4 linked regions of the Callithrix jacchus genome follow. The protein of the gene in region 4 interacts with the protein of the main gene of each other region in a pairwise test. Links are inferred from orthologs where the notes say so. Each region holds a gene or a part of one and is shown on either strand. Other genes may lie near its edges.

Region 1 (5,006 bases), on a different chromosome or scaffold from region 4:
ACTTTCTTCCTACAGGGTCCAGCCCTATAGGGTCCTTTGAGCCCCTCTCTACTGGCGCAGAGATGAGAAACTGGAAATAAAAGACACAAGATGCTGAGATAGAAAAAAGTCTGGGCCCAGGGGTCTACTGCTAACCAGTATACATGGAGACCAGCAGTGGCCCCGAGTGGCTGGACACTCTGACTTTTATTGAGTACAAAGCAGAGGGCCGGGTAGGTAGGGTGAGGCAGTGGCGGTCAGTGATAGGGTCAGGTAAATCACGTGTCTTGGAGATCGGGGCCCAGGTCCTTAAAGTGGAGGAGGCGAGGAGAAAACCTAATGCATCAGCACTTCTTCATACTTGTCGAGAAAGAACAAAGACATTAAAATTTATGTTACTTTTACTCATTCTAATCCAAGAAGAGGAACCAGGTGCAGAAGCGGAACATGAAGGTAGCCATGGAACGTCACCGCTGAGGCACAGCACAGCATAGAGACGGTTAAGCCCCTGAATGTCTGCAGGCCTCCCTGACAGCCACCAGGCCTACCGCAAGAGCTTGCGGGGAGCAGAGTTTTCTCCTAAGTCCTCCAAGGGAGGAGACATGTCAGACGTCTCCTTCCCTAGCTGGCTAAACAGCGGGCGCTTTCCCAGCGCTAATGCTGGCGCTGCCGCACAGCCGAGGTGCCTTCCAGCAGCCCTTAAGCAGGTGTGACAGAGGGCTTAGAGCACCTTGCTCTAGGGTCACCTCTTTCACAATGTTACTTCAGTTCCATGCTTCATGGCCCGAGAATCATCAGCAAAATTAAAAGGTTATATTGAGTATATATATATATGATTACATATGCATATGTGATTATGATTATAGGAATAACTGTGACTATATCGCTAATTCTTTTCTAGTTCAATATTTATATGGGAACAGGCTGAGGCTTCAGAGCCTTCCTTGCCTTGGCCCTTGCGGGGTCTCCCATCCACACCTTCCCGCCGCCTTCACGCAGTGGAAAGCTGCACAAGCCCTTGGAGTCCCTTTAAGAAGGCTCTGCCCTCTTGACCTAGTCACCTCTGAAACACCAGCGCCTTGGGGTGAGGATTTCACATGTGCACATTCAGTTACCGCAGCGGGGACAGGACCAGCTCTGAGGGCGCCTGGGCAGCTGCTTTTTCATCCACAAGTTCACTGGGTAATTCTCAGAAACTGCACAAATCATTAAGGGCATTCCCTTGTTAGGCGCCCCATACGGAATCGCGGCCGGCGGTGACCAACCAGTTGATGGTGTTAGCTAGGCCTGTCTTAGGAGTTTTCTTTCTTTCTTTTTTTTTTTTTTTTTTTTTTAAACGAGACAGGGATCTCATGGGCTCAAGTGATCCTCCCGTAGTCCCGTTGGGACTAAGCGCGCTCCTGTCCTGCCCATTTTAACCTTTTTTTTTTTCCAATTATTGGAGACAGAGTCTCCCTCTGTCGCCCAGGCTGGAGTGCACTGGCGCGATCTCGGCTCACTGCAACCTCCACCTCCCGGGTTCAAGCAATTCTCCTGCCTCAGCCTCCTGAGTAGCTGGGATTACAGGTGTGGACCACCACGCCCAGATAATTTTTGTGTTTTTAGTAGAGACGGGATTTAACGATGTTAGCCAAACTGGTCTGGAACTCCCGACCTCAAGCGATCCGCCCCCCTCGGCCTCTCAAAGTGCTGGGATTACAGGCTTGAGCCACCGCGCCCGGCCCATTTCAATCCTTTTTAAACGTCCAGTTCAAAGTCGTTCCCCCGCCGGGCAGGGCCGGTGCAGCAGTGCGCAGGCGCGCGAGGGCGGTGCATTCCGCCGGGGCCCAGAGCGCTGAGCCGGGACAGTGCGCTGCGCAGGCGCACGGGACGAAGCTGAGCGGGCTCAAGAGTGACGTTACGGCGCGCAACGCGGAGGCGGGGTCGGCCCAGGGTCCGACGGTAGAGGGTAGCGGGTCCGGGGTCTCAGGTCGCCGGCCGCAGGCCACGGTCGCCCCAGCACCATGTTCGGCTCCAGTCGCGGAGGCGTGCGCGGCGGTCAGGATCAGTTCAACTGGGAGGACGTGAAGACTGACAAGCAGCGGGAGAACTACCTGGGTGGGTGGGCGCGGCGGGCGGGCTCCGGGCTCCGGGCTCCCTGGCGGGCGCTGGACTCACGGCGCCTACGTCCGCAGGCAACTCGCTGATGGCGCCCGTAGGCCGCTGGCAGAAGGGCCGCGACCTCACCTGGTACGCCAAGGGCCGGGCGCCGTGCGCGGGCCCGAGCCGCGAGGAGGAGCTGGCAGCCGTGCGGGAGGCGGAGCGCGAGGCGCTGCTGGCCGCGCTGTGAGTGTCGGCGGGCAGCAGCGGGCGGGGCTTGGGACCGCGCGGCGGAGGCTGGTTGGGGCCGGGGGTGAAGGCTGGGGGCCCGGCTGGGCGGGGGCGGAGTTGCGGGGACTCGCTCGGGCGGGGCCCTCAGGACGAAGGCTGGAGTGGTGAGGACGCGTGCTGGGAAGAGATTCACTCCCCTGACGCCTGCCTCGATTTCCTCTCAGTGGCTACAAGAACGTGAAGAAGCAGCCCACGGGCCTGAGCAAGGAGGTAACTCCCCGGGGTGGGGGCGCGTGGAGGGCCGTGGGTGTGGGGCCGTCCCGAGAGCTCCCTTTGCTCCCCCACCTGCAGGACTTTGCGGAGGTCTGCAAGCGGGAAGGAGGCGACCCCGAGGAGAAGGGCGTGGACCGGCTGCTGGGGCTGGGGAGCACCAGGTGTGGGCCGGTTTCGTGGGGAGGGAGGGTCTGTGTGGGCTCGGTTACTCGGGTGAGGCGGGCCCCTGCCGGACTGTCCTGATCGCTGTGTTACTGCAGTGGCTCCGCAGGCCGCGTGGCGCTGTCGCGAGAGGACAAGGAGGCCGCCAAACTGGGGCTGTCTGTGTTCACGGTAACCACCCCCCACCCCTCGCCTGATCGCATCGGGGCCCACAGGGGTGGGACGGGCAGGGCACGGCATGGCACGGAGCTCCCTGGGGCGCTGCGGGGCGTGGTGTGGGGCCGGCCCGCACACTTCTCCCCAGAGCGCGCTTCATCTGCAGCACCACCGCGTGGAGAGCGGCGGGCCCGGGACTTCAGCAGCCTCGGCCAGGAGGAAGCCACGGGCGGAGGTTCAGACTGAAAGCAGGTGAGGCCGCCCCGGGGGATCTCGGGAGGACTGGAGCGGCTCCTAGGCAGGCAGGTGGCAGCTTCTCTTTGCGCACCGGCCTTGGCGGTGGCCTGCCCTACTTTCCTTCCTGTCTCTTACTCCTAGGTTTTTCCCCAGCGGAGTTTCTCGGGTCACCCTTGAAGGGAGGTCCTAAGTAATGGCAGTGGTTGGGGGCTGTGCTGTAGGAGGGCACTCATGACCTGGGCAGGAGCCTTTTTCTGCGTGGGTGGCACCTCGAGGGATTTTCCTGGGTAATGAGCCTGGGCTGTAACCCCAGGAGTGGCCTGTGGGTGCAGGTACGAGGAAGGTGTCACCTTGCAAGGGCACAGCTCAAGTGGAACAGGGCCATGCAGTCGAGATAGGGATATTGCATCTGTCTCAGTGGCCATGTGACTGCGTGACTGAGGAGCGAAATCTGTAATCTCATTTAACTGATTTAAAGATGCATTTGTGGGTGGTGGCTTCATCTCCTGGATGGGACCTGCCTGTGCTCACTCTCTGAGGCGCATTTTGTACCCTCCCAGCTCTGAAAGCCACAGGAAAAGCAAGAAGGAGAAGAAGAAAAAGAAAAAGAAGAAACACAAAAAAGAGAAAAAGAAAGACAGAGACAGGCGACCAGCTGAGGCCGCCACCTCTCCCACATCTCCCGAGAAGTATGCCCTGGCCCATGTCTTGGGGGTAGGGGTTTGGTTGACCCCCACCTCTATGAGTGACTGCCCTTGGTCTTCCCAGGCCCAGGCACTGCCACCATGACTGTGACTCCGACTTCCCCTGCTGCAAGAGGAGGAAGCGGGGACACAGTGGGGACAGGAGCCCATCTTGCAGGCGGCATGACAGACTCTGAAGTCTGATGGTTGGACCCTGCTCACTGCTACTGTGGGAACTGGAACTCTCCCTTCACCTTGCTTGCCTCCTGCCTCAGGAAAGCCCCTTGTGTGGGTGAGACCTGAGGCTGCTCCTGTGGAGTGGCTCTGGGCACCAGCCTGTGGGGTAAAGGCTGCACAGCTAGCTCTGGAGCAGCCAGCTTCCTGGAAGACCTCCAGGTTTCGCACAGCAGGGATGGCCCCTGGCTTGCCCTGCGAAGGTGAGCCTGCCCACAGGTACCCGTAGAGGCTGGACTCCCCGTGTCCTGCTCATGGCTGTAGCAGCCATGGGCCTATGAGCAATCTACCTGTGGCCAAATACGGTGATCTCTATTTTTCCTTACGTTGACTCTATATTTCAATAAATATATTTTAAAAGAAAGGTGTATCATCCTAATTGGAAGGTCAGTATCAGGAGTTAACGAGATCCCAGGATGGAGCTGCGCCCTAATGCTTCGTTAACGTCCAAGAATGCAGTCCTCCCATGGGTGCCCAAAACCCTACCCATACCCAGGGAGGGCTGAGGCCCTGGAAAGGGGTGCTCAGCTGGCAATGTGGGGACCTGGGACAGGTGAGGTCAAGGACTGCAGAGTCTGGAGGGGTAACCTCAGTTGAGTGAGGTTTGGGGACTCTACCTGCCTGCCAAGACCCAGCTGCCTCAACCCTCAGCTCTGCTTCTTCTAGGGCAGTGGGCTAGGTGTCCCGTTTGCCTGACCCTGAGAAGAGTCAGGGCTGTTCAGGACATGTGTGGGCACCTGGACTGGATCACGGCTCACTGCAGTCTCAGAAAACTTCCTTAGGGCCCTGGCCAAGGTGTGGCTCCTGTGGCTTTGACCTCTGCCCTTGCCCTCACATAGCCACTGGAGTGGAGATGGCACTATCTGTCTTGGGCACTGTCAAGGGGGATGAAGGTCGGGCCACCTGGCCAGGACATCCTCACCTTTTGGGACTCTGCCCAACAGAACACAGACCTTGGACCTGCTGATGGCT
Region 2 (5,002 bases), on a different chromosome or scaffold from region 4:
TTGCATTATAACGCGAGAGTTACTGTTTGGTTTTAATAATGTATATAAAATGAATGACTATTTACATTCTTCTTCAAGGCATTAAAAACAATCAGCCAGGTAACAGAAAGGTCTTTAAAGTTTAATACATTAATTATCCTTTATTTTCTTGTAAGTATGTTGAGCTACTTTTAAGAAAATAATTAAATACAATAAAATTTTATTAACCATGTTTCTTTTTTTTTTTTGAGATGGAGTTTCGCTCTTGTTACCCAGGCTGGAGTGCAATGGCACGATCTTGGCTCACTGCAACCTCTGCCTCCTGGGTTCAAGCAATTCTCCTGCCTCAGCCTCCCGAGTAGCTGGGACTACAGGCGGGCACCGCCATGCCCAGCTAATTTTTGTATTTTTAGTAGAGACGGGGTTTCACCATGTTGACCAGGATGGTCTCCATCTCTTGACGTCGTGATCCACCCGCCTCAGCCTCCCAAAGTACTGGGATTTATAGGCGTGAGCCACCGCACCTGGCCTAACCATGTTTCTTATAGTTGCAACTCAAAGTAGCTGTTAGAAGTTTAAGACATAAAGATTTTTATCGTACTCACTTTAGAGAGTGGGTCAAGACCTATTGGCAAATGCTTTTCTTCTGACCCTCAAGTATCTTAAAATTTACCTTTTGTAAATTTTAAAATTTACAAAAATTTTGTAAAAGATCTCATGTGAAGGAATTTGCAATTAACATTAGAATGGTAAAACCGGAAGGAATGTTAGAGATCATAATGACTCTCATTTTACAGATAAGAAATCCAAAATTTGGCAGGGCGTGGTAGTTCATGCCTATAATCCCAGCACTTTGGGAGGCCAAAGTGGGTGGATCACCTCAGGTCAGGAGTTCAAAACCACCTTGACCAACAAGTGAAACGCTGACTCTGAAAAAAAAAAGAAAAAAAGAAATCAAAAGTTTGAAAAATTATTTTAATTATAGGAGGCTTCTTGGCTAGGTGTGATGGCTCATGCCTGTAATCCCAGCACTTTGGGAGGTTGAGGTGGGCAGATTGCCTGGGGCTCAGGAGTTCGAGACCAGCCTGGACAACAGCGGTGAAACCCTGTCTCTACTAAAATACAAAGAATTAGTTGGGTGTGGTGGCGTGTACCTGTAATCCCAGCTACTTGGGAGGCTGAGGCAGGAGAATTGCTTGAACCGGGGAGGCAGAGGTTAAGCCATGGCACTCCAGCCTGGGCGCCAGAGCGAGACTCCATCACCAAATAATAACGATAAATAAATAAATAAAAATAAAGGAAGCTTCTTGAAAAGTAAAAACATTTTTCAGGGAATCCTAAATGTTGTACAAATCCAATCGATAATCTTTTAACACCTCTCTGAAGGGCTGGCCTTACCCTCTTTCCACTTCACACACAGGAAAACTAAGGTATAAGCCAGCTAAGCAGTTCACTCATTATCTCTATGAATCAGCATCATTGCTGGGAACGGAAGCCAAAACTTTGAATGTTGGACCATTCTCACAGATGTAGGCTGATCTCATTGGCAGTGATGCTGGCTGGGGGAGAGGGGAAGCCATGTTTGGGAAGTCCCCTCATGGAACACTGCATTTCACAAGCAGAGTACTTGCTGACTAACGCAAAATGCTTCCCTAAATGAGTTCCAATGGATAATGCAGTCTTTAAGAAACAGAACAGTGCAATGTATCATTTTCACCATCTTCCTCTCAAACCAAGTGCCTTTGAATCGTAGACATTTAAAATGTGCCTTAAACCTGCTTCATCTCAAATACTCAGGAAATGCATATAATTTTATTTACTTTTTATTTATACCAGTCGTCTTTGTGAAACCCTTCATGTCCCCAGTGAATATTTAGGAGGAGTCTATTAATTTGGATCCCTCCTTCTCTCTTTATAAATATTATCACCCTGGAACATTAAGTATTGATCATAAATAAGCAAAATAAAAGTTCCTGGCAAATCTCAATATATCTCTTTTTCCCACCAAACATGACAAACTTCTAAAGACAACTCAACCCTTCACACACACACACACACACACACACACACACCCTCAGCTGTGCCGGCGTCCCTGATGTTGTATCTAGTTTACCTACAAGACCCATTCCCACGGGTCATGACCCATTATTTCTGATGACCACATTGAGTGCTGTGAGGTGCCCAAACCATTACCGCATCCGCCTCCCTGTGAACCATGCCCAGTGAGCTCATGCGGGAACCTGGGTTGGAGCGCTCCTCGCTGTGCAGCTAAAGGATCCATCACGAATCTGGGAACCCTCCCTCGCGGTTCTCCCGGGCCACACAGCGTGGGAGCCGCTGGGTTAGGGCAGGAAAAGGGGCGCCTGCTTGGTGGTGGGGTCAGGCTGTGCGCAGCCAGGGAAGCCGAGTTTGGGGAGAAGGCAGCGGGGGAGCCGAAGGGGACCAAAATACCCACAGGGGCCGAAAGAGTTGGGGAAGAGGGGGCTGCGAGGACGACCCCGGTTCAGGCGGGAAAGGAAAGACGGAAAGGGGGCGCAGGAAATGGGCGCCAAAGAAAGAAGTGAGAAATTGCGGAGGAGGAAGTCGTCCCTGGAAGAGGAGGGGCAAAGGGGAAGCGAGAATGGAGTGTTTGCACTTTGGAGAGGGAAGGGCCAGAGCCACTCCCGACCAGGCCGGCGGGGCGAGCGCCTGGGAAGGGGCGTCCCGGTGGGCCGAGAGGGCGGCGCGGTGCCCGCGGTCCCCGGGGTCCCTACCTGAACCGCTCCTGTCCCGCCGTGTCCCAGAGCTGCAGCTTGATCCTCTTGCCCGGCTCGATCTCCAGCAGGCGGGAGAAGAAGTCCACGCCGACGGTGGGGTCGCAGGCGGGGGAGCGCAGCCCGGGGAAGCGGCCCTGGGTGAAGCGGTGAAGGAGGCAGGACTTGCCCACGGTGGAGTCCCCGATCACGATGAGGCGGAACTGGTAGATCCAGATGGTCTCCATCGCTCACGTGCCCCGCTGGCTCCCGGGCCGCCCCACCCGCGGGGTAAGTTCGGCGGCGGGAACTGTCCCTTCAGCACCTCGCGGGAGCCCGCCCGCCGCCTTCCAGCATATTCCTGCGGCTGCGGCTGCGGCCGCCGCCTGGTGCCCGCCCTCTCGGGAGAGAGAGGCGGGGCCCGGCCCAGCTAGGGGCGGGGCCTCGGGACGGGGGCGGGGCGGGGGCGCGTGGGAGGGGGAAGTAGGCTTTTCTGCCGCGAACCCCCGCCCCTGACCGACTGCAAATCACTATCGCTCAACGCTCACTGGTCGCCGGCCGGAAAGTGGGCGTGGCCAGAAGACGTGACACCAGCAACAACCAAGGAAAATGAAGCAAGGTCTGAACTCCCGGAGGGTCAGCCAATGAAAAGTGAGAGTCATTTTCTTATAGGCGTCAGGGCGGGCTCGTCAGATTAGGGCTTTGCTTTTGGAAGTCCCTGAGGCCATAACTTGGGTCATTGCTTTGCTTCCTCCCACTTTTGTTTTTTCTTTTCTTTTTTTCTTTTTGAGGCTGGGTATCGTTCTATCCTCCAGGCTGGAGTGCAGTGGTGCGATCTCGGCTCACTGTAGCCTCAAGCGATCTGCACACCTCAGCCTCCCAAGTAGCTGGGACCACAGGTGTGCGCCACCACACCTGGCTAATTTTTTTCTGGGTTTTTAATGTGTTATTTTAGAGACTTGGTCTCACTATGTTGCTTAGGCTGGTCTTGAACTCATGGGCACAAGCGATCCACCCACTTCAGCCACCTGAGTAGCTGGGACTACAGGCGGGGAACAGCACACCAGGCTAATTTTTTCATTTTTTTGTAGAGATGGGGTTCAGCCTGGTCTTGAACTCCTGACCTCAAGCGCTCCTCCAGGCTCGGCCTCCCAGTGCTAGGATTACAGGCGTGAGCCACCGTACCCTGCTTTCTAGTCTTGATGAGAGCCACCTCCAAGGGGTTTTAAGGTGATGGAGTTTTGGGCAAGACTGAAATACATTTGCAGAACTAGTTCTCGGTGCTTCCAGGAAGGGCTCTGGCTGTTGCTGCATGCTCCCACTGTCTGTTCTTCACCTCTGTGAGTACCACAGAAGACTCAGAAACGCCAACTATCATCACCATACCCTCTCCCTCCAACCCCAGGGACAATCGGAAAAAAAAAAAAAAGGCAGGGAAAATGTTGAGATGCTGATGAAAGTTTCATCTCTCTTTGGTCTCCATATTTTAAGACAGAAAAAAGTGAACAGGTGGTCTCTTAGCTCATGTCTGATCAATGATGTAAGTAAACAAAGCAGAATTTAGGCCGGGCGCGGTGGCTCACACCTGTAATCCCAGCACTCTGGGAGGCCGAGGCGGGTGGATCACGAGGTCAAGAGATCGAGACCATCCTGGTCAACATGGTGAAACCCCGTCTCTACTAAAAATACAAAAAATTAGCGGGGCACGGTGGCGCGTGCCTGTAATCCCAGCTACTCGGGAGGCTGAGGCAGGAGAATTGCCTGAACCCAGGAGGCGGAGGTTGCGGTGAGCCGAGATCACGCCATTGCACTCCAGCCTGGGTAACAAGAGCAAAACTCCGTCTCAAAAAACAACAACAACAACAACAACAAAAAACAAAGCAGAATTTAAATTCTGGCGAGATCTTACTACTTTCTTGTGCCTTTCCTCAAACTGAGTAATAATGATGTCAAGGTTTATCTTAAAAAAAAAAATTTTTTTTTTTTTTTTTTTTTTTTTTTTAAAGATGGGGTTTCACCATGATGGCCAGGCTGGTCTTGAACTACTGACCTTAGGTGATCCACCCACCTCGGCCTCCCAAAGTGCTAGGATTAAGGCGTGAGCCACCGCGCCTGGCTTTTTTTTTTTTTTTTTTTTTTAAGGTTTATCTTTAAAAAGTTAAACAGTTTAAAAGTCTGTGTTTAGGTCGGGCGTGGTGGCTCACTCCTGTAATCCCAGCACTTTGGAAGACCAAGGCAGGCAGATCGCCTGAGATCAGGAGCTTGAGATCAGCCTGACCAACACAGCAAAA
Region 3 (4,311 bases), on a different chromosome or scaffold from region 4:
CAGGACTGAAAATTCACAATGATATTTTTCTTTGGGCATTGCCCCTGGAGCCCACCTGAAGCCCATCCCATCCTCTGAGGATTACCTGATTACCTCGCAAATCAAGGGCTGCCAGGTCACAGATATCCTGATGGGCAACCCCACCCCCCTCTCCCAGGTGTCTTGTGTGTTTGTCAGAGAAAGCACCTTCACCTCCAACCCTCAGGAAACACTGTTTCAAATCCAGGCTTCACTGCTAAACAAGAATGAATATCACTTTCTTATGTTAATTAATCTCTCCACAAAATATTTTTTTGGCTGGAAATTCCAAAAACAAGATGAAAATTTCTTAATTTACACAATCAGAATAATCTTGCTTTCTCCAAAATATTGTGAGAACTAGAAAAATAAAATTCCTAGCCTCTCTCTCTGTGTGGCCCATGAATGCATGTGAGTGTGGGAGGTGGGAGCTGGGAGTGTGGGCTCCCACGTAAAATGTAAAAATAAGTTTGAAAATAAATAACCTAAAAGCCACAGGGTGTATGAGGGATTGTAGGCAGGTGGGGACAAATGTGGGCTCTGGATTCATTCTGAGTTGAAGTGCCAGCTCCTTCTCTTGCTAACCTTTACAAGCTATGGAAAGTTAATTACCTACATTATTCCTGTTTCCTCCATGGTGCAAAGGCAGTAGATGCCTTCCTCACAGGCCTGTTGTGAGGGTTAAATAAAAGGGGAAAAATACATGTTAGGGCTGAGTACAATGTCTCACTCTTTAAGTGCCCACAAGACATCCATTAATTTTGATAAAATATAGAAACTTAAGGGAAGGAAGTTATTTTTAGTTTTTATTCTCATATGATGTGATGATGGACAATCATACTGCTTTGTTTTTATACTTTATATTTGTGCATGTTTTTGAAATAAACAATTACATTTAAAGACAATAAAACTATAACCTTCACAAATTTAGGAGTAATCACGAGTAGCGATTTTTCCCACCCTATTAGGGGAAACAGTTACATCTGTACACATTGTAAAATAGAGAATTGTCTCATTCCCAATCATAGTGCTCTGTTAAAATGATAAGAGTACACTTTTCCAAAAATGATTGTATCACAAGAATCTTTAATGTTTACTTTAAAGTTGACTCACGGTAGGGTTGTATATGTGTTTAGTAAATTGTGCCAAGTGCTCACATTGAGACCAGTCCAGTTCAAATCAGTTTACTCCACGAGAATGTCTTCTGTGCCCAGCAAGGTCACGAAGAGCCTTGACTTTTCTCTTGGTTAGGCCAGCTTTGCTGGTGAGTTCTTCCAAACTCTGCAGGAGCAGTCTACCCCAACACACATCACCAGTCCCATATAAAATAATAAGATGCAAACTTTCTCAAGGTACTTCGTCAGTTTAGCATGTCTCAGGTACAAAAATCCAAGAAAGGTAGCACAAAAGCGAAAGCACCAACCAAGCTTACATATAAACAAACATGCATACATCCTAAATACTACACAAGAGTACCCAAATGAATACAACATTGCATTAAAGGTATAAAAGCACTGTACTGAAAACTTAAAAGTTACACGTGAATACTGCACTGTAAATCCCGAACACTCTAATGACCCACCCCCACCCTTCCACAGCCCCGGTGAGGGTCAGAAAGCATTTCATCTGCCTCCAGACCTTGCTAGTCCTCGGAGACACTGTTGCGGGGGCAGTGAGCAGCGGGATTAGCCTCCCGCAGAGCTCTGGCCTCCTCCAGGGCTTCTCTGTATCGGGAGGGCCAGGCCTGGGGGTCTTTCTTAAAGACCCTGGCCAGGAACTCCATGATTTGCATCTTGGTGATTTCACGGCTGGCCCGGGAGCCCCAGAAGAACTCATACTCTGGCGGCTCCACGTACGGGACGCGCTGGTACTTCAGGTAATTCTGTTGGACGAACTCCTCGGTGATGAGCTTTCGCACGTCCCCGAAGGTGGAGTGCTTCTTCCAGGGCCGCAGCCCCAGGATGCGCAGCACGTTCCAGACGGCGCTCTCTCTGGCGCCGCGGCCCTTCACGTAGATGAGGCTCAGGATCATGAGCAGGAGGCCCGTCATGGGCATGCGGTTGCTCAGCGCCACCCTGTCCAGCTCCTCCGGCTCCAGCGCTTTGACCAGCGCAAACTCCATGGTGTGCAGGCTGGTCAGCCTCAGGTGCAGCCCGAACACCCGGGCGAGGATGAGGCTGGTGCGCCGCAGGATGCTCCTGCACCACTTCTTGTAGCTGCCGATGACATCTTTCACCATGTCTGGAAACCAGATGATCATCTTCTTCTGGTCCTTGACCAGCACGTACCACATGAGCTCGTGCGCCTTCTGCACCAGCTGCGCCGGGGCGGGCGGCGCCGGGCCGGGCTGGGCCGCGCTCGGGGCCTGGTGGGCGCGGCCCTCCTCTGCGGCCTCCAGCAAAGCCTTCGGGTCGACCTCCTCGATCGGGGCCTGGGGCGGCTGCGCGGCCTGCGGGGCGGCCGTCGGGCCTAGGGGAGGGCTCTGCGGCTCCGCCAGGGTCGCGGACGGAGGAACCCCCCCCGGAACCCCAGGGCTGCTCTGCGCCTCGGAGCTGGGTGCCTCGGCGGCAAAGCTAGGGTCGCTCAGATCCTTACTCTGCTCTGACATGTCTGCGCCGTCTGGCAAGGGCAGGGCCTCTGCGTCCAGGAGCTCTTCGAGCCTGCGCTCCCTCCGCGGACTCCTGGAGAGGAAGTGCGCGTTGCTGCGCGCGGCGCCTTCCGCAGCGGCGGGCAGGGCGGGGCGGCGGCGGGACGCGGCACTGCGCCTGCGCGACCGCGGCCAGGGCGGGCGGGCGGCCGGGGGCGGGCGGGGCCGCGAGGGGCCCCGACGGGGAGGGTCCGCGGTGAGGCGTCACCTGGCGGGACAGCGATCCCGGGGTTTCCTGTTCCGGCCGAGGAAGTTCAGGGTAGGAGAGGAGGGAGATGGATGCCTGTGGAGAAGGAGCAGGTTTTGGGGAAAGATGATAACTCAGGTTTTGGGGATGCTGGGGTCGACTTTCCTGGGAAATGCTCGCCTGGGTATATCCAGAATCCAGTTAAGTATGAGAGCCCCAGAGGAAGGTCTGGGAGGCTGTGCAAACTGGAGCTTTATGTGAACGAGTGAGAGGAACGGTCGGGCTGTCCGAGAAGACGTGTAAACTGTGAGGCGGATGTCCGAGGTTGGAATCCTGAGAAATTCCAATAAAAAGTTGATTGACTCCCTCCCTACCACATCAGAGGGGTTATAAGGAAAGGAGAAATGCGGTTATAAGGAAAGGAGAAATGCAGCGTGTCGTTAACGTGATTTCCTACCCGCGTGAGCCGTGAACTTGTTCAGGAGGCAGTGGGCTTAGACCATCATTGATGCTTTCATGGGCATAGGTTTGGCTTTTACACTTACTTTGAGTCACTTTGATTCCATTTTCTTTTATTTTTCCATGCTTAGTCCATAACAGAAGGATTGCCATATCTATTAGCACAAACTTGTATGATAATGCATTTTTCCCTCTGCCCAGCACCTCATTCTCCGATTCACCTTCTCCCAGGACCTTCTCTGAAGCTACTGAGTCCTCAGTGTTGGGAGTCACACCCAAATCATTCCTTCCTGAGATCTCCAAAAAGATATAGGTCCCATGGGCAATATCTGGCGGTGTCTCAGATGACCAAAAGGTAGCGGGGGCAACATATGGATAGCCCTGTTTTCCAGTTATAGAAAACAGATTCCCAGTGGGCCAAGGCAAAGCTGTCACTCCTAGAGGCTGTCCGTGGAAAAAGGGGCATTGCTGGAGCCTCCACAACCAGGGGCCTCCATGCTGCTTCAGCATCCTTGGTCTGCGTTGATGTGGTCCTTCAGCCCTTGCCGGGTTCCCTCTCATCAGCAGCTTCTTAAATATGTTGTCTCGAGTCTAGTTATTGCCACTTGAAGCCCAAAGCATGTTTTAAAATTGTCTTGACATGTCTAGAGTCCTCACTATGAGTATCTATCTTTTCTCATTTGTCACTTTAATTTTCCTCAAGCAGGTTGGTGTTGAAGGGTTTTCTGTGCTTTCTCTGGTTGGGTTGGCATGCATGTGACACTTTTGACAGGGCCATTCCCACGCCAGTCCCTCCAACAGGACTCTTTGGTCTCTTTAGCTTCCCACTCCACCAGGGAAATTCATAGATATCAGTCTTACTTGGAATTATTTCAACACTTTTCTCTTCCTCCTCCTCCTCCACCTCCACCTCCTCTTTCTTCTTTCCATCTACTTCTTTTTCTTCTCCTTCCCCTATTTATGGATATCTACCATTTTCTTGGGAGCACCTTACAGAAGG
Region 4 (4,924 bases):
CCTAAAGGGATAGCCTGATGACAAGTGGCTGTTCTCATTGGCCTGGCTTCCCCTTGAGACTGGGGATGAGGAAAATGAAACAGCAACTACCATTTCCTGGGTGTCCTAAGTGTTTACAGGCCCTGTACTAGGGATTAACATAAACACAACAACAATAACAAATCTCATTTAAACTTCGCAAGTGTAAATAAAACAATACTTTACAGGTATGAAAAGAGAGGCCCAAAAAGCTCCAACAATTTGCACCAAAATCATATCCCTAGCAGATGGACAGGTACGATACAAACCCAGAACTCTTAACCAGTACCGGACAGTTCTTCCACAATCATAACAATTACCCTCTACTGCCCCTTGGGCCCCCTGTCCCCAGGAGCCTGGTCAGCCAAGACTCACATCCTCTGATGAGTGGCAATCACCAGAATTGGTTGTCTCAGGGCTACTGCCATTTTTAATTTTCTTCTTCTTTTTTGCTCCTGCAGGAACACCAGGGCTATTCCTCTGCTGATATTCTCTTAGCTGTGGAAAAGAAGAGCAGTAATACTCATGAGAACTACACGCCCCTACAGTTACATCCTACCTTACAATTTTTCCAAAATAGTCTTATAGACCATCTGATTTAATGCCACCAACAACTGTACAAGGTCTTATCACAATCACTTAGTGAATGAGAGGGACTGATACCATGGCTTAAAAAAAGGCAATAATTGAACTTAAACTCAGTCTTCTGACTCTGAGCTCGGGGGTTTTGCCACAGATCAGCAGCTACCAGGGGCCAAATCCAGAGGCAGAGGTAGAAAAGCAAAAATTAAGTAGGCAAGAACTATACACTGTGTGGTTTAGAATCATACATCCTCACATGTTTGTTAGGGTAAGAAATGCACGAATACCTCTCAAACTTTTACATCAATGTATCTTCATGGCAGAAGACAGCCTTTCTGTTAAATCTAGGAATTTAACAGAAAGAGGACAACCCAAGCCAAGTCTGGTGTATTCTCACACATTTATGTGACTGTCATCCCTAAGTACATTAATGTTTTTCTCTCTCACGAGAATCAAGGGAAACTGATGCTTCAGAAAGAAAGATACATATTTATCCATGGCACTCCAAGTACCCCAGGATGAGATGATATGAGAAAGATTCATGCTGCCAAGTTCAATTTCCCAAGACCTGTTCCAAAGAAGATAAGCAGATCTCATTCCAAAGACCACTGATTAAAGGGCACTCTGGTCCCAGAACCATGGAGAATTCGAATATGAGGTAGAGAGATCAGAAAAAAATGTTAAAGTCTCTCTGGAGAGTAGAAGCCTGGGAGAAAACCAAACCAAACCCATTCTCACATTGCCAACCAGAGATACTGCCAACGTTTTGAACTCACAGGGGAAGTGCAGGCTTTTCACACTGTCAACGTTTGTGTTAAGGGAGTAAGGCAGCCTGAAACCTCTCCCTCCTAGGTCCCATAGCCCCCATTCCCCTTCCAGCTGGAAATTTATGCTGTGACCAGAGGAACCAGAAACGGGATGAGAACACTTATGGGGCTGGGTCCTAAGATCAAAGGCTGGTCTAGAGCACTAATTACGGTTCCGAGAGGGGTTGTGACGTCACTACATTCCACTCTTCCCGGGGGTGGGGGGGACATCGACGCGACGTCCGAGTCGCCGCTCTGTGATGGGGGAGGGGAGCACAGGGCCAGGACCCAGGTCCTTGGAGACTCGAGCCCAAAGAGCCCAGGGAGAGCCGGTGTGGGGCTGCAGGAGGTGAGGGCCGAGTCTGGAGAGGGGAGCTCCTGGAGTCTCGGGCCCAAAGTCACTGGCTGAGCTGGTGGGGACCGAGGTCCTTGGAAACACCAGCCCAAAGAGCCCAGGGAAGTTGGACCTGGGGCGGCAGGAGGTGAGGGCCGAGTCTGGAGCGGGGAGCCCCGGGAGTCACCAGCCCAAAGTCACCCGGGGGCGACTGGCGAGGGCGGGGGCTGGGCGGTTGAGGGGGCGGGGCTGGCTGACAAGACTTTGGTGGGGGCAGCCCAGAGGCGCCGGGGGGCCCAGCCCGGTGTGCCTCAGGAGTGGCAGGGACTCTGGCCGCGGTCATGCCATAGGAGGGGGGCTGGGGCTGGGTCGGGGGGCCGCGACCCGGCGCGGTTTACCTTTTTCTTCGCTGCGGCCAATTTGCTCTGTCGGGTTTCTTCCGACATCGCGGGGCGGGGAGGGAGGCGGGGTTGGGGCCACATCAGCGCAATCCCGGCAACCACTGCGCAAGTCAGTCAGCCACCGCGCAGCTGTGCGACGGAGCCAGAGGAGGCGTAACCAGGGCGCTATTAGAGGGCAGATTAGGGGCGTGGCCTCAACGATCCAAGCCCATTGGCCAATGAGAAAGATGAAGCGGAAAGGAGGCGTGGCCAGGCGGCGGCGTGGCCAGAGGGACCTGTGGCGTCACAACAAAAGCTGCGCACGCAACTGCTGTCCCCGCCCATCCCAGGAGAGGAGCGGGGCAGGTTGCCGTTGGGTGCGCGCGCACCTTTCTGTGCGACCGTTCGAGCTCGCGGTCAGAACCTGAGAGGCCGTTCTCCGACTCCCGCCCTGGACCCTCTTGCGCCACTCAACCCCCTGATCCGGGGGCCTCGGACCCCTGGGCTCAGGAGGTGGGCGAGAAGTGGACTCCACAGTTTCTTTCCTGACTCCTCACAGCCCTGCCCCAGACTTTGCCTTTCCAGAAACCACTTCCAAAGACTCCCATCCAGTGCTCCAGACAACCCCCCTCTCGGAACTTCCCCTTCCTAGAGAGTCTCTACCCTGATCCTGGGAGCGTATGTGTCCCCTTTTCAGTTCCGGGCGCTCCTACTTCCCAGCCCCTCCTACTTCCCAGACGCTTCTCCTCCCGCATCCCCACGGTATCCCTGTCCTATCAGAGCGGACTGTGGGTTCAATCAGGCTTTCCCCTCGGATTCCTCTGCAGGACTGAATCAGGACTTACCCGAAGTTGCCGCGGGGCCTTCCGATCCCCTGTGAGTATGTCTTACGCACACCCACCTTCCCATCCCCGACACTCCCTCCGTATGAATCCTTGCCGCTCCCAGCCATCCTCCCCATCCCAACAGCAGCTGTTCCCCACTTGGCCCTCTTCCATGTCGTCTCCCAGCCGACTGAGAACCTCCAGGTCTTTTCTCAATCCCTCCCCTTCCTTTCCTCCCGCCTGCCAGTCTTCAAAGAAGTGCTATCCTGTCCTGTCCTAGTCTTAACTCTTCTCCCTCCCCTTCCTGTCTCCTGCCACCTCAGATGCCTTTCACTCCAGTCAAGCACCAGCCATCTCTCCTGCTTGCTGGTTTCACCCCTCACCCAGCCGCGCCTTTAAACAAACCCACAGCTCCCCAGTCAGGAAAATGCCTGGTGTTCACCTTGGCCACTCCTTTAGTTGCTAATAGTCTCTCCTCTTCTCTGGCAAGTCACCCCCAAAACGCAGCCTCTTCCTCCTCTCGTCCCCCAGTTGGAGTTGCCACTACCACTACCACCACCACCACTCTCAAGTTAGATCATGAGGACCAGGAGAGGTGGCTAACATCTGTAATCCCAGCACTTTGAGAGGCTGAGGCGGGTGGATTATATAAGGTCAGGAGTTCAAGACCAGCCTGGCCAATTTGGTGAAACCCTATCTCTACTAAAAATAAAAAAAATCAGCCGAGGGTGGTGGTGCATGCCTGTCATCCGAGCTACTCAGGAGGCTGAGGCAGGAGAATCATTTCATCCAGGGAGGTGGAAGTTGTAGTAAGCCGAGATTGCCCCACTGCACTCCAGCCTGGGCAACAGAGCTAGACTACGTCTCAAAAAAAAAAAAAGAAGAAGTTAGATCAGGAAAGACTTTGTATTTGTTTGTTTATTGATTTAGCAACTGCGCAATACAGGTGTGTGCCAGAGAGCCCCCTGTCCTCCAGGAGCCACAGGCAAAAAAACAGTTCCAGAACAAGTATGCACATGGGTTCTGAGAGGGGGAGCCCAGGGTTGGACTTGCAAAGAGGGCTCTCCAGAGATGGCAGGGTCAGAGGCAAGGTCTGAAGGGCAAGTCACAGTGAGCCCAGATGATGATGACAAGGTGGCAACCACAGTTTGCCAAAAGCATTTGGCTGATTGAACTCTCTGCAAGTGAGTTGGTTTCCACTGTTTTTGACCATGGGGTAACTAACTACAGATCATGCCTTTCTCATTCATGCTAATTTATTCCTTCCCTTTTTTTCTTTTTTTTTTTTTTTTTTTAAGACAGAGTTTCACTCTGTCACCCAGGCTGGCTTGCAGTGGTGCAATCTGGGCTCACTGTAACCTCTGCCTCCCAAGCCCAACCCATCCTCCCACCCCAGCCTACCGAATAGCTGGGACCACAGGCAAGTGCCATGATGCCTGGCTAACTTTTTGTATTTTGAGTAGAGACAGATTTTCACCATGTTGCCCAGGCTTGTCTCAAACTCATAAGCTCAAAGCAACCCGCCTGCCTCTGCCTCCCAAAGTGCTGGGATTACAGGCAGGAGCCACCATGCCCAACTTCCATTCCTTCCATTTTTAAAAACAAGGCTCTGCCAGGCATGGTGGCTCCTGCCTATAATCCCAGCACTTTGGGAGGCCAAGCCGAGTGGATCAGCTGAGGTCAGGAGTTCGAGACCAGCCCGGCCAACATGTTCAAATGACATCTCTACTAAAAATACAAAAATTAGCCAGGTGTGGTGGCAGGCACCTGTAATCCCACCTACTTGGGAGGCTGAGGCAGGAGAATCACTTGAACCCAGGGGGGCAGAGGTTGCAGTGAGCAGAGGTTGCACTGCATTCCAGCCTGGGTGACACAGCAAGACTTTGTCTCAAAAAAAAAAAAAAAAAAGAAAAACAGGCTCTATTGAGCACTGTCCCCATCAGCTTACTTTACATGCATCATCTTTCCAGTTCCTTCTAG

What was found.
Region 1: the proteins of GOLGA2 (region 4) and C19H1orf35 interact in binary tests that used the Homo sapiens proteins (3 or more experiments, as listed by UniProt). The two-hybrid records come from large-scale screens. The link is inferred for Callithrix jacchus from reciprocal best matches to the Homo sapiens genes GOLGA2 and C1orf35.
Region 2: the proteins of GOLGA2 (region 4) and RAB39A interact in binary tests that used the Homo sapiens proteins (3 or more experiments, as listed by UniProt). The two-hybrid records come from large-scale screens. The link is inferred for Callithrix jacchus from reciprocal best matches to the Homo sapiens genes GOLGA2 and RAB39A.
Region 3: the proteins of GOLGA2 (region 4) and NDN interact in a two-hybrid assay, tested with the Homo sapiens proteins (2 studies listed by BioGRID and IntAct). The link is inferred for Callithrix jacchus from reciprocal best matches to the Homo sapiens genes GOLGA2 and NDN.

The regions. Positions count from the first base shown.
Region 1 is NC_133520.1:38,924,827-38,929,832, reverse strand, and holds C19H1orf35 (multiple myeloma tumor-associated protein 2), read left to right. Parts: upstream 1-1,892; 5' UTR 1,893-1,982; coding exon 1,983-2,076; intron 2,077-2,153; coding exon 2,154-2,304; intron 2,305-2,513; coding exon 2,514-2,559; intron 2,560-2,640; coding exon 2,641-2,723; intron 2,724-2,822; coding exon 2,823-2,895; intron 2,896-3,046; coding exon 3,047-3,132; intron 3,133-3,677; coding exon 3,678-3,806; intron 3,807-3,885; coding exon 3,886-3,997; 3' UTR 3,998-4,398; downstream 4,399-5,006.
Region 2 is NC_133511.1:7,729,922-7,734,923, reverse strand, and holds the start of RAB39A (ras-related protein Rab-39A), read right to left. Parts: upstream 3,115-5,002; 5' UTR 2,960-3,114; coding exon 2,733-2,959; intron 1-2,732. UniProt on the Homo sapiens protein: The small GTPases Rab are key regulators of intracellular membrane trafficking, from the formation of transport vesicles to their fusion with membranes.
Region 3 is NC_133507.1:5,529,557-5,533,867, reverse strand, and holds NDN (necdin), read right to left. Parts: upstream 2,715-4,311; 5' UTR 2,627-2,714; coding exon 1,661-2,626; 3' UTR 815-1,660; downstream 1-814. UniProt on the Homo sapiens protein: Growth suppressor that facilitates the entry of the cell into cell cycle arrest.
Region 4 is NC_133502.1:176,882,372-176,887,295, forward strand, and holds the start of GOLGA2 (golgin subfamily A member 2), read right to left. Parts: upstream 3,137-4,924; 5' UTR 2,997-3,136; coding exon of another isoform or gene 2,948-2,996; intron 2,634-2,947; coding exon of another isoform or gene 2,543-2,633; intron 2,541-2,542; coding exon of another isoform or gene 2,360-2,540; exon of another isoform or gene 2,354-2,359; intron 2,307-2,353; 5' UTR 2,223-2,306; coding exon 2,139-2,222; intron 517-2,138; coding exon 394-516; intron 1-393. UniProt on the Homo sapiens protein: Peripheral membrane component of the cis-Golgi stack that acts as a membrane skeleton that maintains the structure of the Golgi apparatus, and as a vesicle thether that facilitates vesicle fusion to the Golgi membrane.